Cricetulus griseus: one gene and its partners. The protein of the gene in region 1 interacts with the protein of each later gene in a pairwise test. Links are inferred from orthologs where the notes say so. Each region holds a gene or a part of one and is shown on either strand. Other genes may lie near its edges.

Region 1 (5,435 bases):
TCATGGGTGAGAGTTCATAGAGTACAAAGACTCCTGGCAGGCCCTGGTCACCCAGCAGCCCATTGGCAACCTTCTCGTGTCTGGTCACAGAGAACTGGTTTGTCCTCAGCACCTGCAGGAAGAAGGGAACCAGAAGCAGAGAGAGGTTTATAACCTGGCTCAGGGTTGTTCTGAGCCCCGCTTCTTGTCAGGCTGTGACTATATGAAGAGATAGAATGAAGCTCCCAGTTGGTAACTAGCAACACAAGGCCTGGGGACCATCCTTGTTTCCCTTCCAGTCCACCATCTTATCAGTTTTTGCCTGTCCTAGCTACATCTGATGGATACTTTCACTGGTAGTACAGGGAAGAGAAGAAACTCTTGCAGGCAGCACCCTAAGGCTAGGACTCACATCCTTGCCCTTCAGCCCTGTCACACCACCCCAAAGACAGCTGTTCCAGACCACAGAACAGAGCAGGCCCAAGGAGGCTTGGCCTAGCCAACCCCCAGGTCAGCACAGACAATGGGGTCAGTAAGCACCCAAGGACTGTCTGGAGGCAGTGTGGGAGGCAGGAAGACCAAATAGTGTCTAGTGTGTGTCTCCCACGAGGGCATCAGTACCCTGGAGCCTCAGCTCTGCATCCATCACACAGGAGTGAGAGCAGTACCTCATTCCCCGGGCCAAAGTAATGACACACAGGACTTTGAGAGCTTGACAACAAGCTGAACTGGACGCCTATACTCGACTCACCTCCCCATCCACTTTCATGTACACAGTGGGGACCACCTTCACAAAGTACTGAAACATCATGGAGGCTGTGAGGAGAAGCAAGCACAGGGCATGGGCACCAGGAAGGGCGTTAGCGGTAGAGGGGGCTACCTCCCAGGATGGTACCTTGGGGTGCAGTGACATTGGTGTGGTCCAGGGGGTTCACAATGCCTGGATAGTCCTCCCCAAATGACAGGTGCTTGATGTAGTGAGTCATGTTGATCTGTAAGCAACATCAGCATCTGAGGCCCGATAGCACACCCCCACACAACACCAGCGTCTGTCTGAGGCCCGATAGCACACCCCCACACAACACCAGTGTCTGTCTGAGGCCCGATAGCACATACCCACATAACACCAGTGTTTGTCTGAGGCCCGATAGCACACACCCACACAACATCAGCATCTGTCTGAGGCCCAATAGCACACAACCCACACAACACCAGTGTCTGTCTGAGGCCCGATAGCACACACCCACACAACACCAGCGTCTGTCTGAGGCCCGATAGCACACACCCACACAACACCAGCGTCTGTCTGAGGCCCGATAGCACACACCCACACAACACCAGCGTCTGTCTGAGGCCCGATAGCACACACCCACACAACACCAGTGTCTGTCTGAGGCCCGAAAGCACACACCCACACAACACCAGCGTCTGTCTGAGGCCCGATAGCACATACCCACACAACATCAGCATCTGTCTGAGGCCCAATAGCACACAACCCACACAAAACCAGCTAGAGTAGCAGAGTGTTCCCCAAGGCTGTGAGCGCAGGTGGGAAGAGGGAGGAAGGAAGCGGCCCTGTACAGGAGAAGCTATGGCTTTAATAGGAGAAGTGTCTGTACCAGGCACTTGTTTTCACTTAGGGATCTCTCCTCAGTCCACAGATTTCTGGGCTCTAGGGTTTAAGGTACAGCTTCAAGCAGCCACATTGTACATGGTGACACTAGTCCTGTCTGCACACCTCAAGGGATGAAGGTCTAAGCCAGAAGCCCCAACTGGCAGCTTCCTTGAGGGACAGTTAGAAATGTAAATCTAACTATGTCACACCCCTGGTTAAGGTGAGGCAAAAGTGGCCCCTCTTCTCAAAAGGCAGACTCCTCAGTGTGGCTCCAGTCCCAAGGCCTCGACCCTGCCAACTCTGCCAGCTTCCTAGAAATGCCACACTCTGTCCTGGCTTTGCTCTGAGCTTCCTTCTGTTGAGGGTGCACCCGTCCAACGATCTCTGCCCTGGGTCTGAACACCAGCAGAACATGGAGAGTGATTTCTCCCCATTTCAGACATGAGCAGAGTCCAGTCTCTTGCCACCCATCCTCCATGGTTTCCGCCTGGTACGTACATTGTCAAGGCCGAAGCTCTGCAAGTCATGAACTAGGAGAAGAAGAAAACAGTCACCAGGCAGGCAGGACCAGGTTCCTGAGTCTTTTTTCAGGCCGTACTCCTCCCTGTGGGATATGACGCTCTGACCCCTCAGTCACCCACAGCCTGATACGCTGGCCCTGCTTAAGCACAGCTGGCCAGAGCCTGCCCTGCACCTGGGTAAAGGGTTCCCAGCCTCCCACTGGGGTGGACAAGAACACAGATTTCCCGGCCAGGCTTTTATCTCAGGAAACAAAACCCACGGACAGGTCTCTCACTAACCAGAGTTACTGACAAATTACTGTACCCCAACATCAATAGGGACTCCCTTGATTCTACCCTCAAAATTCCCCAAAGGGATTTTTGAACCAGCAGTTTCTTCCCATCTTAACCCCAATTGCCCACTGTTAGGAACCCCATGTCAAAGCCCATCCCAGGAGTAAGTCACCCAGCGGCAGGGTCAGAAGGCTCTATCCCAGACCCATCCAAACCTCCCCCCATTCCAGGAGGGCAGGCTGCTTTGGAAGTGGGGAGAGGGCATCCTTGGGGGCAGGGCCACTTACTCTCCACAGCATGAACTGCAGCATGGGGAAGGGAGAAGAGAACAGAGATTCAGAGCTCCAGTGGGATCTATGGAGCAAGACCCACAGTAGCGGGGAGGATGGAGACTCCTGCTTTGGCACGAGGGTCTAGCCCTAGCTAAAAGGCCTCTTCCAGGACCAAAGAGGCATAAAAGAGGGCTGAAGCATAAAAACAGCCAGCCTAAGAACAAAATGAGACCTAGAGCCTCGAAGTCCTCCCCCAGCTGTGTGACCTGGGCAGAGCACTTGGCCGGTGTTGTCTGCCAAGGGCTGACCTGAGGGTCTAGGAGGGGCAGATGCTTGGTCAACTTCACAAGACCTTATACCCCCTGGTGTTGTTCACCCTGCAACCAACAGGATGTTAAAAGCACTCTGAGGACTCAATGGCAGATCTTGGGCCACGGGCCACTGTAGCCATATGTGTATGAGCATCCTTGCACTCAGAGTCAGCTGCCCCGGGGTCCATGACCCAGAAGGTAGACCTAAGCAGAGGTGCAGGCGGAAATGCTGTTGTGATAGCAGCCCCCTCCCGAGTGTCTGAAGGCCTGTAGTCCACAGCTTCACACAGTGACACACCGATGTCGTCCTATGGTCTCAGGAAATCTATTTTACTCGGCCTCCTCCAGAGTAAAGGGGTGGGTGGGGGTTCCAGAGCTCTTCAGGGTCCTCCAGGCCACCTACCTCTCCTTGTGCCTTCCCCCTCTGCAGGTACAGACTACATGAGAGACTACAGGACCCCACGCCCGCCCACCTTAGTCACTGGGAGCAGCTCAGAACCACCAGGTCCTGCTTGTCCTCTGGAATCCTCTTGGCTGGTAGCGATCTCCCAAATGATCCTAATTCTCACCCCACCCACACCCCACCAGGTAGCAGCAGCATCTTCAGCCTCCACTTTGGCCCTTCACTCTTCTGCTTCCCCCGCAGCCTGACTTTCTCTTCCAGGCACCAGCTCCATTCCATCGTCTCAACTACTGTTTGGTCTCCCATACCTATCCACTCTGTAGTCAAGAGAGAGGTCCTTCTAGCTCCTTCCTGCCATTTTCAGACCACTGTCCCCTGATCTACAGTCAAAGTCCTTAGCTCCCAGGCAGTTCAAGGCACCCTACTTGTTAATCATGAAATTCCACCAGGCACCCCCAGGACAGTTTTAGTAACTACCTGCCCATCCTTTATGGCACCCGAATCTCAGCTTTTGGTGAGTCCCATAGTCATGTACACGAGCCTTCCAACACCCTGTCATCCCAGTTCCTGGACAGCCCCGCCTCCCTGCTCTTCTCTCCCACTCCAGACCACCATGGTGACCATTCCCTAACCCTGACATTAGCAGTAGCTATACCTTCTCTAGTGTCAACCACAAGCACCTCATGCTCCAACTGCCAGCTTGCTAACTTCCTCCTGTTCCTTCCCTGGCCCCGCAGTGCCCCAAATCCAACCATCCTTTGCCACCACACCAAAGGCCTGCGGCAGTCTGGTGCTTCTCCGCTTCCTCATTGGCGTCTACTCCTCCCCCAAACCCTGAGTCCTCACTTTCCTCCCATGGTCCAGCTCTGTGATTGCCTCTTTGTATACTCTTTGACTCCCTTGTCTGTGCAGCACAGAGCAACACTAAACCCCAGAAAATCCCACAGGTGCTCTCACTTCCACCCACTGTCCCCGAAACCAAAGACGTCCCCCTGTTGCCTCCAGCATGCCATCCCTTTCTCCACAGCCTTCGCTAATGACCTTGCTTCCTCTGCCCGAGAAGAAGCCAGGAGAGACACTGCATGAGCGCTTCTGCTCCCCTGCCATGGCTGGAGTTTGCTCTTTCCACACGCTCAAGGCCTAGACTGTCTTCTCCAGACCCGCTGTGTCACTTCAGCCCTTGTCACAGCCCTGTACATGAGCCATCTGACAGCCTGCGCACCAGTTCCTGGACACGCCTCCTCAGTCTTGTCCTCCGCCCCCCAGTCTCCAGTTCTGTTGCCATCCTCTAAACCAGCGTTCTCAACCTGCAGTTTGTGACCCCTCACGGGCTGAGCAACCCTTTCACAGGGGTCGCCTAAGACCACTGGAAAACACAGATATTTATATTATAATTCATAACAGTGGCAAAACTACAGTTATGAAGTAGCAACAAAAATCACTTTATGGTTGGGGTCATGACAACACGAGGAACTGTATTAAATGGTACTAGCATTAGGAAGGTTGGGAACCCCTGCTCTAGTCCGTGACGTGGTAGTAATGGCGCCCATCTGCAGTTTCAGTTTCGAGCACCTGGTGCTCTAATGCAAATCTTAAACACTTTTCTGCATTTCTAGTCATAGTCATGTTCTGTCAGGGCCACCAACGACCACTACACTAACAACCAACCTTCATCTTTTGCTTGGTATCCAGGAGTACCCATCCCTTGGCTCTTAGGATGGCACACTCCTGGCTGAAGCTCCCACCTCACCAGCCATCCTTACAGTCTCCTTTACAGCCCCATGCCGCTGGCCTCTAACACAAGAAGCCTGGTAGTACTCAGGTTCCCTTCTCCAACAAAGTTCACCTGCAGGGAGAGTGCATGGAGTCCCATAGCTTTAAATATGTGGGAGGGTTCAACGTCTGTCTCTTGGCTAGTCTCTGTCCTTGAACTCCAGGCAAACACTTATTTGGCATCCGCAGGGCCTAGGAAATGAGAATCCTACTAGTCTAGATATCTGCTCTGTACTTACTTTCAAATAACCACCCCACCCCGAGTCCTCCTGAGTCTCCTAAATGGTA
Region 2 (6,223 bases), on another chromosome or scaffold:
GTAGCTGGACAGTGATGGCACACACCCTTAATCCCAGCCCTCAGGAGGCAGAGGCAAGGCAGATCTCTGACTTTGAGACCAGCTTGGTCTACAGAGTGAGTTCCAGGACAGCCAGGGCTGTTACACAGAGAAGCCCTGTCTCAAAAAGCCAAAACAAACAAACAAACCAAAACAAAAAAAATCACTATATATCAGACCAGGACTTTGAACTTTTGATCCTTCTGTCCCTGGCTCCCCAGTGCTGGGATTTCAGGCATCTACCAGCAGATCTGGCTTATATAATGCTGGAGATCAAACCCAAAGCTTGCAGCATGAGAGGTAAGCATATGCCCAGCCACAATTAACAATTTAATTTTTTCCTTAATACTTCAGTCTTTTAAAAAAATTACTTTTTCGAGAGGCCAGACCAGCATCCTGAACTCCAGACTGGTGCCTAGCTCAATTGTCATCAGAGAGCCTTCACTCAGCAACTGATGGAAACAGATGCAGAGAACCACAGCCAAACATTAGGCCAAGTTCTGGGAATCCTGCTGAAGAGAGGGAGGAAGGAGCCAGAGGGGTCAAAGGACATCACAAAAAACCTCACAGAAACAACTAACCTGGGTTCATAACTCACAACAACTGAGCTAACAACTGGGGAGCCTGCATGGGACTGACCTAGGCCCTCTGCATGTATGTGACAGTTTAGTAGCTTGATCTTCTTGTGTGACTTGTAACAGTGGGAGCAAGTGCTGTCTCTGACTCCTTCACTGGATTTTGGGTTCCTATTCCCCTTACTGGGTTGCCTTGCCCAGCTTTAATGCAAGGCGAGATGCTTAGTCTTATTACAACTTGGTATGCCATGCGTTGTTGATATCTATGGGAAGCCTGCCCTTTTCTGAATAGAAACAGAAGAGGACTGGATTGACAGGGAGGGGCAAGGGAGCAGAGGGACCAGGAGGATGGAAGGAGGGGAAACTGAGGTCAGGATGTAAAATAAGTAATTATTTATTTATTTTTATTTATTTTGGTTTTCCGAGACAGGGTTTCTCTGTGTAGCTTTGGAGCCTATCCTGGCACTCGCTCTGGAGACCAGGCTGGCCTCGAACTCACAGAGATCCACCTGCCTCTGCCTCCCGAGTGCTGGGATTAACGGCCCAACACCCGGCAGTAATTTTTTTTAAATTACTTTTTCTTTAAATTATTTTTTTTCTTTTATGTGCAGAAATGCATCACTTGAATATGTGACTATGTACCACATTCATGATTGGTGCCCTTGGAGGCTAGAATAGGCATTAGATCCCCTGGAGCTGAATTATAGACAGCAGTGAGCAGAAATGAGGGTGATGAGAATTCAATCTGGGTCCTCTGGAGGAGCAGCCAGTGCTTTTAACTACTCAGCTAGCTCTCCGGTCCCACATTCTAGTCTTTGATTAAGCACTGGGCGATGGGCCAGTGAGATTAAGAAAGAGGACTGTTTGTTGGCTCCTCTTTAATTTTTCCCAGTTATGCAAGAAAAGCTGCAGTATCCTCATCATCACTCTGCTTCAAAATCTCCATCTTTCTGACCGGGGGAGAAGTCCCCATGGCCGGCATCAGGAATCTAAGGGGAAATTGTATGTTCTCAGGCTGGATAATCCCTGTTTGTTTTCCGACTGACTCCTAAACTCACACTATGAGGCTCTTCAGGGCCTGCCATGTAGTTTGTCTGTGTTTTATTCTCTGGGAAAGGGAGTCATTCTTTGCTTGAGTACTGCTCTGGAGGCTGGCTCAAATCTTCTCTTTTTCTTCCTCTGCCTCTTGCTGGTTCAAAACTTGGTCTGGCTGCTGTTGTCATCTTTTATTTCAGGCTGGGATCCATCCCAGCAACTTTAGAGGCTCATGCATCCACACACCACTGAGACTTTTAGCTCACAGGAATGTCGGCAGAATTTTAGCATTTAAAAAATCGCCCCCCCACCTCCTCCCACCCCGGTGTATGGAGGTCAGATAGACAACTTGCAGGAGTTGGTTCTCTCCACAATGTGAGTCCCAGGGATGGAACTCTGATAATGCAATAGATTTGGCTTCAAGTGCCTTTATCCACTGAACCATCTTGCCAGACCTCAATTTGTCTTTTTTAAGTGTACAACTTGGCGACATGTGATGTATTCAGAATACTGCCTGCTCCGTCTGAAAACAACCAGAACTTTGGAGTGGTTGATGTGTTTTCAGTTTTGGGTGGCATGCACTCACCAAGGTGGCAAGCACCCATCCTGGCATGTTCATGACATCCGGAGCACTTAGCACTCACAGATGCTTGTCGTATGACAGAATGACGCCTCCCTCGCTAACTCCTGTTGCAGTCCCAGATCCAAGAGACATCGGTCCCCAATTTACCAGGCTGGGGTGTCATCGGAAATCGGACGCTGGTGGCCCGGTAGGAGGCGCCCCACGGACCCTGTTGCTGCTTTCGGTTTGTCTGGGTCGGGCACCTCTCTGAGAAGGCGCCCCCCCTCCGCCCCCTTGGCCCGCGGGCCCGCCCCGCCCCGCGGCTTCCTCCAGGGCCGCGGGCACTGAGGCCACGCCGGGCAGAGGAGCCGGAGCCGGCAAGCAGGAGGTGGCGGTGGCTGCGGAGGCGATGGTGAGACGGGCAGGGGCAGAGGGCGATTATGCAGGGGTGTGATGTAGGAGCCCGAACCCCAGGGGTGCGGGTCACGCTGGTCGCATGAGCCAGACCCCAACTTTGCAGGCAGCCGGGAAAGGAGAATCAGAGTGCGCCCCGTCGGTGCGGAGTGAGCCGAGCTGCGCTTCCCACGCTCGTGCGGCAGTTAGCAGCTCCCGGCCATCCCGGGCAAGTCACTTAACCTCCATGAGCTTCCTTTTCCGTGCCATAAAGTAGGGGCAGCAATACCTACCTTAGTGGGTCCTTGAGAGGTTAGAGGAGATGTTTATGGTTGCTGCTGCCAGGCACTCAGAACCCTTTGCTAAGAAGTAGCAGGTAATGCGATGACCTCTGCGGGCTCTTCCCCGGGGGCTGAGAGAAGCCAGAGCTGGCCCAAGGGTTGGAAACCTGAGTAGATGCCTAGTGGAGGCCTCTCTAGGCTGGGTGCTGAAAGATAAACACTTTCCCCGGGGAAAGAGAAAATAAGTTGTTTACTATAAAAGTTTCATGAAATTATCAGTGTGACACAGGCTGACTCTTTCCTAACCTCTACCTAATGACATAATCCTGGCTTGAGTCACCTATACTCCTGCTGCAGACCTGCCATTTCTAAGGCAAAGGTGTCTGAGACCTCTGATGCCAGGATCCCCCTCCCCTGGGACTCCTGGGGAGATGGACCAGACTGAAAGCAAGTTTAGTACTCTAAGGCTGGATGGATGTGGCTTGGCTAGAGATGCCAATGTCTGGATGGCTTCATCTCTAGGGAACTAGAGGCAGGAAAGGGAAATGGGACAGGAAGGTAGCCCTAAGCTGTGAGGCCACACCAGGAAACTGAGGGAGGCTCTGAGAATGGGCTGGAGTTAAGAGCCCACTTCCGAGAGTGCAGGGTAAGAGCTGGGAGGAGATAGGGGGTGGACTTCCAGCTGGCCCTCAGCTCCTGGGGAGAAGTTCTGAAATGAAGGCGAGCTAGGCTAGTTATCTGACTGTACAGAACCTTGGGATGCTCACAGGTGCATTCCAGTCAAAGGGGGTTCCGAGCCTGGGGGATACATTGTTCCTCCAGCTCCATCAGCTAACTCTTCCTCCCTTCTTGTCCCCTTTTCTATCTCCAGCTCTTTCCCTTCCGTCATCCACCCCTCTGACTACCTAATTACTCCCACCCCTTTCCCCTTCCTTCTCTTCTCTGTGACTCATTGGGACAAAAAGGACACAGCATTTCTTTTGTGCCACTAGCACAGGACAAAGCAGTGATAGGGAAGATGGAAAGTGAGCAATCATTTTTGGCACGTGTACACGTGTTCTGTGCATGCTTATTCACATGTGTGGGCACACACATGTTTAGGTGCACATGGAAGTCCGAGGTTGATGTCCAGTGTCTTATTTAATAGCTCTCGGATTTATTTATGGAGACAGGGTCTCTGGCTGAACCTGGAGCTCACCAGCTTGTCTAGTCTAGCTGACCAGCTAGTCCTTGGGAGCCCCTGTTTTTGGCATCTTGAGCACTAGGATAACAAACAAACTGCTTGGATTTTGTGTGGGTGCTCAGGATTCAAATTCTGGTTCTCATGCTAGTGCAGTGGGAGCTTTATTTATGGAGCCATCTCCCTAGCACCATATATCGTTTTTTTAAAAAGATTTTATTGTGCTAGGTGGTGGTGGAGCATACCTTTAATCCCAGCACTCCAGAGGCAGAGGCAGGCAGATCTCTGTGAGTTCGAGGCCAGCCTGGGCTACAGAATGAGTGCCAGGACAGGCTCCAAAGCTACAAAGAAACAAGAAACCCTGTCTCGAAAAACAAAAAAAGCAACCAAAGATTTTATTGTATGTGTATGAATGTTTGCTCACATGTATGAATGTGCACCATGTACGTGAGTGCCTATGGAATCCAGAAGAGGGTGTTAGATCACCTCATACTGTAATTGTAGATGGCTGTGAGCTGGGAACTGAACCTAGGTCCTGTGGAAAAACAGCAAGTACTCTTAACCACTAAGCCATCTCTCCAGCCCCACTATAAATACTTTTAAAAATTACTATCTTGCTTGTTTGTTTTTTGGGAGACAACATCTTATAAAGCTGAGCCACCATGCCTGATTGGAATGAACTCTTTTGCTATAAAGCCCTTAAACTGCCTGTATAGACAAAGCTGTCCTTGAAGTTGCAGCAATGCTCTTGCTTCTACCTCCCAAGTGCTGGGATTACAATTATCTGACACCATGGACAGCTATAGAATAATTCTTTTTTGTTTTTGTTTTTTCTTGAGACAAGATCCCACTCTGTAGACTCAGCTGGCCTTGAACTCAGCCTACTGAGTTTTGGAATTAAATAGGTCCACAACTATGCTTAGCTGAAAATAATTCTTGAAGCCATTCATCTGGCAGAATTGGTGTGTGTAGTCGCAAGCTGAGTTGGCAGCATCAAGTGGCTGGCAGTCTTCAGCCAATCAGCTGGAGCTTCATACTCCCCTCTCTCTCCATATCTGGTTTAGCACAGGGTTTAGACTTGTGGCCCCTGGGTCTCTGACCATTCTACCCTCAGATTGGTTACCTACTGGCTCTGGACAACTTAACACCTCTGGGCTGTAAAACAGGGACAATAATATTGTCTTGAGTGGGTTCTTATGAAGATTTAGCCAGATGCCCACATGCACAGCTAGCTCAGTGCTGGGCAAGTTATGTGCTCACTGAAAGGTGGCTGTAACTATTGCTCAGGACTTAAGGCCTGTAATTCCAAAACTTGGGGGCAGAGACAGGAGGACCCCCAAGTCTCAGGCCAGGCTGGACAGTTTATTGAAAGTCTCTTGCATGTCTTTTTTTTATTATTTAAATTTCTGAAAGGGCTGCAATGTGTGACATCCTTGGTTCAATTTCCAGTACCACACAAATAAACAAAGATCTCAATAGCCTGTAGCACCTGATGAAAAGAAAAGAATGCAGATACTGGGTCTAGAGCAGGGGTTCTCAAAGATCCACAGAAGTTTCCTCACTTAGATAAGAAGCAAATCAATGCATAAGTGTGCAACAGGGAAGACCTTGGCTGGTTGTGCATCTTGTAAGCAAAGAAAGACAACAAAAAGGCAGCTGTCTTGAGGAATCTACACCCACTCCTAAGATGTCCTTACTAAGGCCCCCAACATTTTTTCATAAGAGGGGGTGGTGTTGGCTGGAATGGGGACTCAGCAGTTAAGAGTATTTGTTTTTCTTCCAGGGACCTGGTTTAAATTCCCAGCACCCAGATTAAATTCACAACCACCCCTCTGTAGATCCAAGTTCCAAGGAACCTAATTCCCTCAGGCATGCACAAGAGCACATACAAACAAGCAGCCAAAATACTCACAGATTAAAAATAAAATAGGGGCTGGAGAGATGGCTCATAACCAACCATTATGAGATCTGGTGTCCTCTTCTGGTATGCAGATATACATGGAAGCAGAATGTTGTATACATAATAAATAAAATCTTTAAAAAAATAAAAATAGGCCGGGCGTTGGTTGAAAAAAACCAAAAAAAAAATAATAATAATAAATAAAAAATAAAAACATTTTTTTTTTGTTTTTTTTCGAGACAGGGTTTCTCTGTGGCTTTGGAGGCTGTCCTGGAACTA
Region 3 (6,084 bases), on another chromosome or scaffold:
AAGGTCTATGGTGGAAGTGGGGCATAGTTGGGAGGGAGGGAGGGAGGGAGGGAGGGGCCACAGCAGGCTCAAGGACTGGTGTGCTGACTAAAAGGGCTTCCACTTGACCCTGAGAGGTCATCAAGGACTCCTTAGAAGGAGCAAGCTGTCTTCACTCCTTCCTTCCCTGCCCAAGGAAGATGGCCCAAGCTAACTGGCCAGGGGAAGATTTGCTGAACATGGTTTGGCCCCAGCTAGGGGAAAAGCGGGCTCCTATCAGGGCCACACAGCTGGCCAGGAGTAGGGCAGGGCCAACACTGGCTCCACTTCCCCTAGTGTGGCCTCTGTTCTTCCTGGAACAGCCTTCCTATGAACTGAGCCACAGGCCCCTTCAAGAGGTTCACCGTGTCCACGTTAGCACCCAGCTTCGGCCCACGCCCAGGTCAGTGCAGAGCTTTACTGAGGGGCCAAACGCTGAAGAAGGGGGACTTTCCTTGTGTGTAAGCTTCTCTGCCTTGCAGGGAGTGAATAATTACAAAAAAGCGTAACAAAGAACAGAGAAGACTTTCTCTGGTTATGAGGGGAAAGAATATTAATGAACCTGCTGAGAACAGATTGAGAGGTTCTAGGAGCTCTGGGGCATCCTCCTTTTGTTGCTTGTTGAGGAACTGGGGTGCTCTGTTGTGGCAGCTGGTCAGTGCCTTGACTGAGCCCCGAAGAGGTGTGAGGAGCTAGGCAAGTCTTGGTTAAATGTACCTGGTGGAACTTTATAATGGCGTGCTGAACCAAATGTGCCTCAGTGAACCTGCAGAGCCGAGAAGGATCAAATCTGAAGATAAAGGTCGCAAAGGAACACTCGGACTGTGAAGGGAGGTGCCATTTCATCTCATGGCGTTACTTGTGGGACATCTCCAGGCCTGTCACTGCTTCTGCCAGGCCTCTCTGAGCCTGGGAAATACCATAAGAAACAGTTCTTACTGAGCACTGGCTTAGGCCATCCCAGTGGAATACAACTGCTTTTAACTTTTAGCTTTCTTTTCTGCCTAGGAAGGAAGTCCGTTTCTTTTTACCTTTTAAAAGTATTTTTTGTTTGTTTGTTTGTTTTTTAGATTTTGTCTTGTTTGTTTTTAGAAATAGGGTCTCATTGTGTAGCCCTGGCTGGCCTGGCATTTGGTGTAGACCAGGTTGGCTTTAAATTTACAGTGATCCACTTGCCTCTGCTTCTAGAGTGCTGGGTCACCACACCAGCCTAGATTTTTCAAGTATCTATATTCATATATGCATATATACATCCACACACACATATATGTGGAAGCCAGAGGACAACTTATAGGAGTCAGCTCCCTCTTTTTACTCTGTGGGACCCGGCATTGAACTCTGTTCCTCAGGCTTAGCTGCAAGCACTCTTGTCTGCTGTACCATCTTGCCAGCCCTCCACATAGCTCTGAGGGAAATATTCTGAAATGCAGGCCAAGTGCTATGCAAGGAGCTCATTCTTTTCACTACTGTTTACACAAAGGGTTGGCTATGATATGAGGTCCAATCGTTAGGGAAGATGGCAGATGGGTTTGGACAGCCCAGAGCAAGTACAGAAACAGAGACGGGATGTGGCAGGATTCTGAGGCTTGATTGGATGCAGGATCCTGCAGAAGCAAGGAATGTGTGGGTGGGCCTTGGGGGAGCCCAGGGGCACTGGTGAATTTGTACCCTGCAGGGCACAGGCATTGCCGTGGATGGGAAGTGCTCACAATAGACTGTACATGGGCAGGAAGGCATCCTGCTGGATGTTTAAGGAACCCGAGGGCAGGGCCCCAGAGGGTGAGATATGGCTCAGAATGGTTTGGGTTCATGGGCTAGCTCTAACATTATTATGAAGACTGGGGATGGGAGCTAACCTCATGGTCTTCCTTCTCCATTACGATGGGGTCACAATGCTTCTCATCTCATGGCACGTGTGTGGTCGTCTAATGAAGTGTATGTCTAGGGAGCCTTGTGTGTCCCAGACAATAAACATCAGTCCCTATCATTAACTCACATATGTGTTACCGCTCTCGGATTGCTGCCAGAGCAACCCTTCTCATCTTATCTTCTGTGTACAAATTCAGTTATCTCCCATAGGTTCGTCATCACCTGATCTTACTAGAGTGGGAGGATGGAGCAGGGGCCTTGGGATGAGCAGTTAGAGCCAGATGACTCGTTGCTTTCTGTGGAACCCATGGAAGAGAAACACTTTTGATAAAGTCTGAGTGTTACGATAAAGCGCAAGGGGAACCTTGGTGGATTCCATGGTGGGGAGGTTGACCGAGGCAGAAGGACAAACATGCCAGGCAGACAGAGCTTAAGTGGAAAGTTTTATTAGAAAGAGGAATTGAGGGGAAAGGAAAGAAAAAAGGTGTAAAGAGACACAGAGACAGAGAGAAGACAGAAGAGAAGAAGGAGACAGAAGAAGTCCTGTCTGTCCCAGGAGAACAGCAAGACAGAGAGCACAAGTGGGCAGGGGTATTTCTTTTAAAGGGGTCCTTTGTACCTGGGCTGACCAGGGTACTGCCTGAGTGCATTCTGCCAGGTTACAGGAGCAGGCAGCATAATGCCTGAATCCTTATACTGATAATTGCCAGACACTGGAAGGGACCTGAGGGGCACAGTCCTTAGTTGCTTGTCTTCTAACAGTTGTTCCCCTTTCATTGCATGGCTAGGTTTTTCCTCCTTGCAGCTTGGACCAGAGACCGTGCAGTTGACACCATGGACCCATCAACCTGCGAGGGCTCCTCAGGTATTACATTTGTCTGGCTTCTTCTCATTTGTGGCCTAGACCCCCATTACTGAGTGTAGAGTATTGTGCCCAAATTCTGAACCCCCAAACCACCAAGAGACCCATTCTGATGCAAAAGCGAAGAGTCTTTTATTATTTAATGAGTTAACTCCATTAATTCAGACCCTCCATCCGTTCTACATGGCAGGTGGAGTGAGAAGGACCCGGATAAACTGTGGGTGGGGGGAGTTTATTGGGCAGCGTATGGGAAGTGTCTAGGGGTATGCAACAGTCTCAGGATTGGTGTGCTTCCAAGCTTGGGCAACCTGTCCTGTGTTGATTGGTTAACTGGTTGCTATGGTCTATAGGCCCTCCCAGAGCAGTTGTTAAGCTCTACATGTCACTGTTAGGCCACTTTTTCCTTAAAGCACATCCAGAGCCCACCAACTAACTTCTGATTGGTTCCTTGCCGCGTGGAGGGTGTCTGACCTCCTAGTGACTAGGGCAGCCCCTGCAAGGTCAGGAGGCTGGAAACTAAGCAACATGTGCTGAGTCAGGGGCCTTTGTCTTGCTGGGTCTTTTCTGCAGCCTGTCATGGCTGCTAAAACAGGGGGCTGGGTGAGGATCTGGTTCCTTCAAGAGAAGTTGAGAACAGAGAAGGGGAGACCCAAGGGGGACTTCAGAAACTCTTCCAATGCCAGTGCCCTTCCTGGGGAATAAAGCCAGGACTCACCTCCTCCCTGTCCTGCCTCCTCAGGTGGACCAGCTCAGGGTGGAAAGCTGACTCTGTGGTTACTGTCACTCAAGCTCTTCCATTCTGTCCTCTAACTTCACTTTCCTTTCCAACTAGGGGGCAGAAACTTCATTGAGGAAGTCACTGAGTACCTCCAGCACAGAGCCAGTAGGGAAGATCTGCGCTTGCTGTTGACTGAAGATGGAGCCTGGAAGGCCTTTGTGGCCGAGGCTGAGTTGTCCAGGTCTCCTGCTGTTAGGCACTTCTTCCCTTTTTTGGTTTCTCTTCCCTGCCTATGGACGGTGCAGCCTCATTCACTATGTGCCTCCCTGACCTAGTGCCCTTGTTCATGTGCTAATTCTCTCCAAAGCATCTTTGATACACCCATAACTGTGCTTTGGGAATGTCCCATTGTCTCTCAGTGAACTTGAGAGCCACCAAAAGGTTGTACCATACACTATCTTCGAGGCTGACCCCAGATCTTTCATTTCAGAGGTCAATGCCTTTAGTCTCCAGTTCCCTGGAGGTCAGAAATGAGACCAAAGCCCCCACCACACACTGCTTGGTTAAACCTGAGCACCCTAAAGAGGACATGCCTGGGAACAGAAGTGGTTTGGATCCTGAATTTTCCTGATTTTAAAATATTTTCAATATGCTACATTGTGGGAATGAGATCCAAGTCTCAAAGCGAAACACACTTCTATACTTTTTATACCTAGTGAACATCTTAATGTTCTATGCTCTTGTTAGCACCCTTGTGTTTGAGTGTGACCGGTCCCCTAAAGACAACTGTGGAGTTTTCCATGCGGCATCATTTGAAGCCTTTCACACTTGGAATGTTCAGACAGAATTGCTCAGTTTGGATGAGTTTCCTGCCAAAGTCCTAGCCAGATGCAGATAGTCTTGGCTGGGAGGACATGACCTGGCCTACTGCTTGTGTTTCAGCAGCTGAGGGCAAAAGGAAGGCATTTCACAACACTAGCAAACATTCTATGAATTAAGGATGACTTATGCTCCAACCTTGCCTCCTTGTGTTCATCAGCACAGTCCCCATTCCCCTCCTCGTCACTTCATCCTCACCCCTGGCATGTGCTGATGGCCACAGTGTTACCCTTGAGTAAGAAAACATCTTTATCAAATGCCTGACACTAAGAACATCTTTTATTTTTTTTGACAAGGTTTGATATATCCCATATTAGCCTTGAACTCAGACATAAGCAAAGATGACCTTGAACTTCTGAACTTCCCGCCTCTGACTCCCAAGTACTGGAATTACTGGCTTGTAACACCATGCCTGATTTTATACAGCGGTAGACACCAAGGCCTCACACATGCTAGGCAAGCTCTTTACCTACTATGCTAGTCCCCAGCCCCTAAAGAACATCTTTTAAAAGGTTTTTAAAACCTTATTTCTACTTTATATGTATGAGTCTTTGCCTGCATGTATATGTGTGTGCCTGGTGCCCACAGAAGCCAGAAGAGGGCATTGGAACCCCTAGAACAGGCATTTGTATGCTCCCATGTGGGTACTAGAATCAAACCTGGGAACTCTGGAAGAGCAAACAGTGCTCTTAGCTGCTCAGTCATCCCTCTAATCTCAAGAGCATCTTAAACAAACAAACAAATTTATTTATTTATTAATTTATTCATTAATTTTTGAGACAAGGTCTTTCTATATAGCTCTGGTTGTCCTAGAATTCACTATGTAGATCAGGCTGACCTCAAACTCACAGAGATCTGCCTATCTCCACCTCCTGAGTGCTGGAATTAAAGGCTAGTGCCACAATGGCTGGCAATTTATTTACGTATGTGCGTGCGTGTGTGCGTGTGCGTGTGCGTGTGCGTGTGCGTGTGTGTGTGTGTGTTTGTGTGAATGTGTACATGCACATACCTGTGGAGGCCACAAAGGATGTCAGATCCTTTGGATTGGAGTTAATAGATGATTGCCAGCCTTTTAACCAAATTCTGAGTGCTGAGATCCAAATTCCAGGCCTGTACAAGTTCAACAAGCAGTCTTAATTGCAGAACCCATTCTCCATTCTCCAAGAGAATCTTAACATGTCTTTTACTAATTATCCTCATTTACAAAGGACAATTTATGATTACCAAGCCTTCACCATCAAAAGAAAGAATCTGTGTGTCTATAAAATCCTTCCTGAGCCACAGAAAGCATGCTGTCATTTGCACAGGTCATGTGTTATGGAGCCTGTAGCAAACCATCTGTTTTATTATTTTATAGCACTGGGCATGGAACCCAGGCCCCATGCATGTTAGACAAGCACTCTACCCTTGACCTAAATCCATAAGTAAACTCTCTCTCTTAATCCCTTGATGCCTGTTACAGAGCTGATGCAGACACATTGCGTGATGCTCTCAATGCCCTCACAGAAAACATGGCTGAGGAAGACAAAGACAAGTTTCAACGTGACTTGCAGGACATGGAGAGTTTTGTGGATATGTTTCCTCAGGTGCAACTGGAACTCGAGGGGCACATTAAGAAGCTCCAGATCCTTGCAGATAAAGTTGACAAGGTTCACAGGGATTGCACCATCTCCAAGGTGGTGGCCAGCTCCACCAGCACTGTTTCTGGAGTCCTCACCCTCCTTGGCCTTACTCTGGT

The links.
Region 2: the proteins of Ergic3 (region 1) and Vamp5 interact in binary tests that used the Homo sapiens proteins (3 or more experiments, as listed by UniProt). The link is inferred for Cricetulus griseus from reciprocal best matches to the Homo sapiens genes ERGIC3 and VAMP5.
Region 3: the proteins of Ergic3 (region 1) and apolipoprotein L2-like interact in binary tests that used the Homo sapiens proteins (3 or more experiments, as listed by UniProt). The link is inferred for Cricetulus griseus from reciprocal best matches to the Homo sapiens genes ERGIC3 and APOL2.

What each region holds. Positions count from the first base shown.
Region 1 is NC_048599.1:23,569,973-23,575,407, forward strand, and holds part of Ergic3 (endoplasmic reticulum-Golgi intermediate compartment protein 3), read right to left. Parts: intron 2,125-5,435; coding exon 2,093-2,124; intron 972-2,092; coding exon 875-971; intron 796-874; coding exon 731-795; intron 113-730; coding exon 1-112. UniProt on the Homo sapiens protein: Possible role in transport between endoplasmic reticulum and Golgi. Positively regulates trafficking of the secretory proteins SERPINA1/alpha1-antitrypsin and HP/haptoglobin.
Region 2 is NC_048601.1:64,108,971-64,115,193, reverse strand, and holds the start of Vamp5 (vesicle-associated membrane protein 5), read left to right. Parts: upstream 1-2,456; 5' UTR 2,457-2,599; coding exon 2,600-2,602; intron 2,603-6,223. UniProt on the Homo sapiens protein: May participate in trafficking events that are associated with myogenesis, such as myoblast fusion and/or GLUT4 trafficking.
Region 3 is NC_048595.1:374,854,145-374,860,228, reverse strand, and holds the start of apolipoprotein L2-like, read left to right. Parts: upstream 1-2,721; coding exon 2,722-2,752; intron 2,753-3,581; coding exon 3,582-3,708; intron 3,709-5,808; coding exon 5,809-6,084.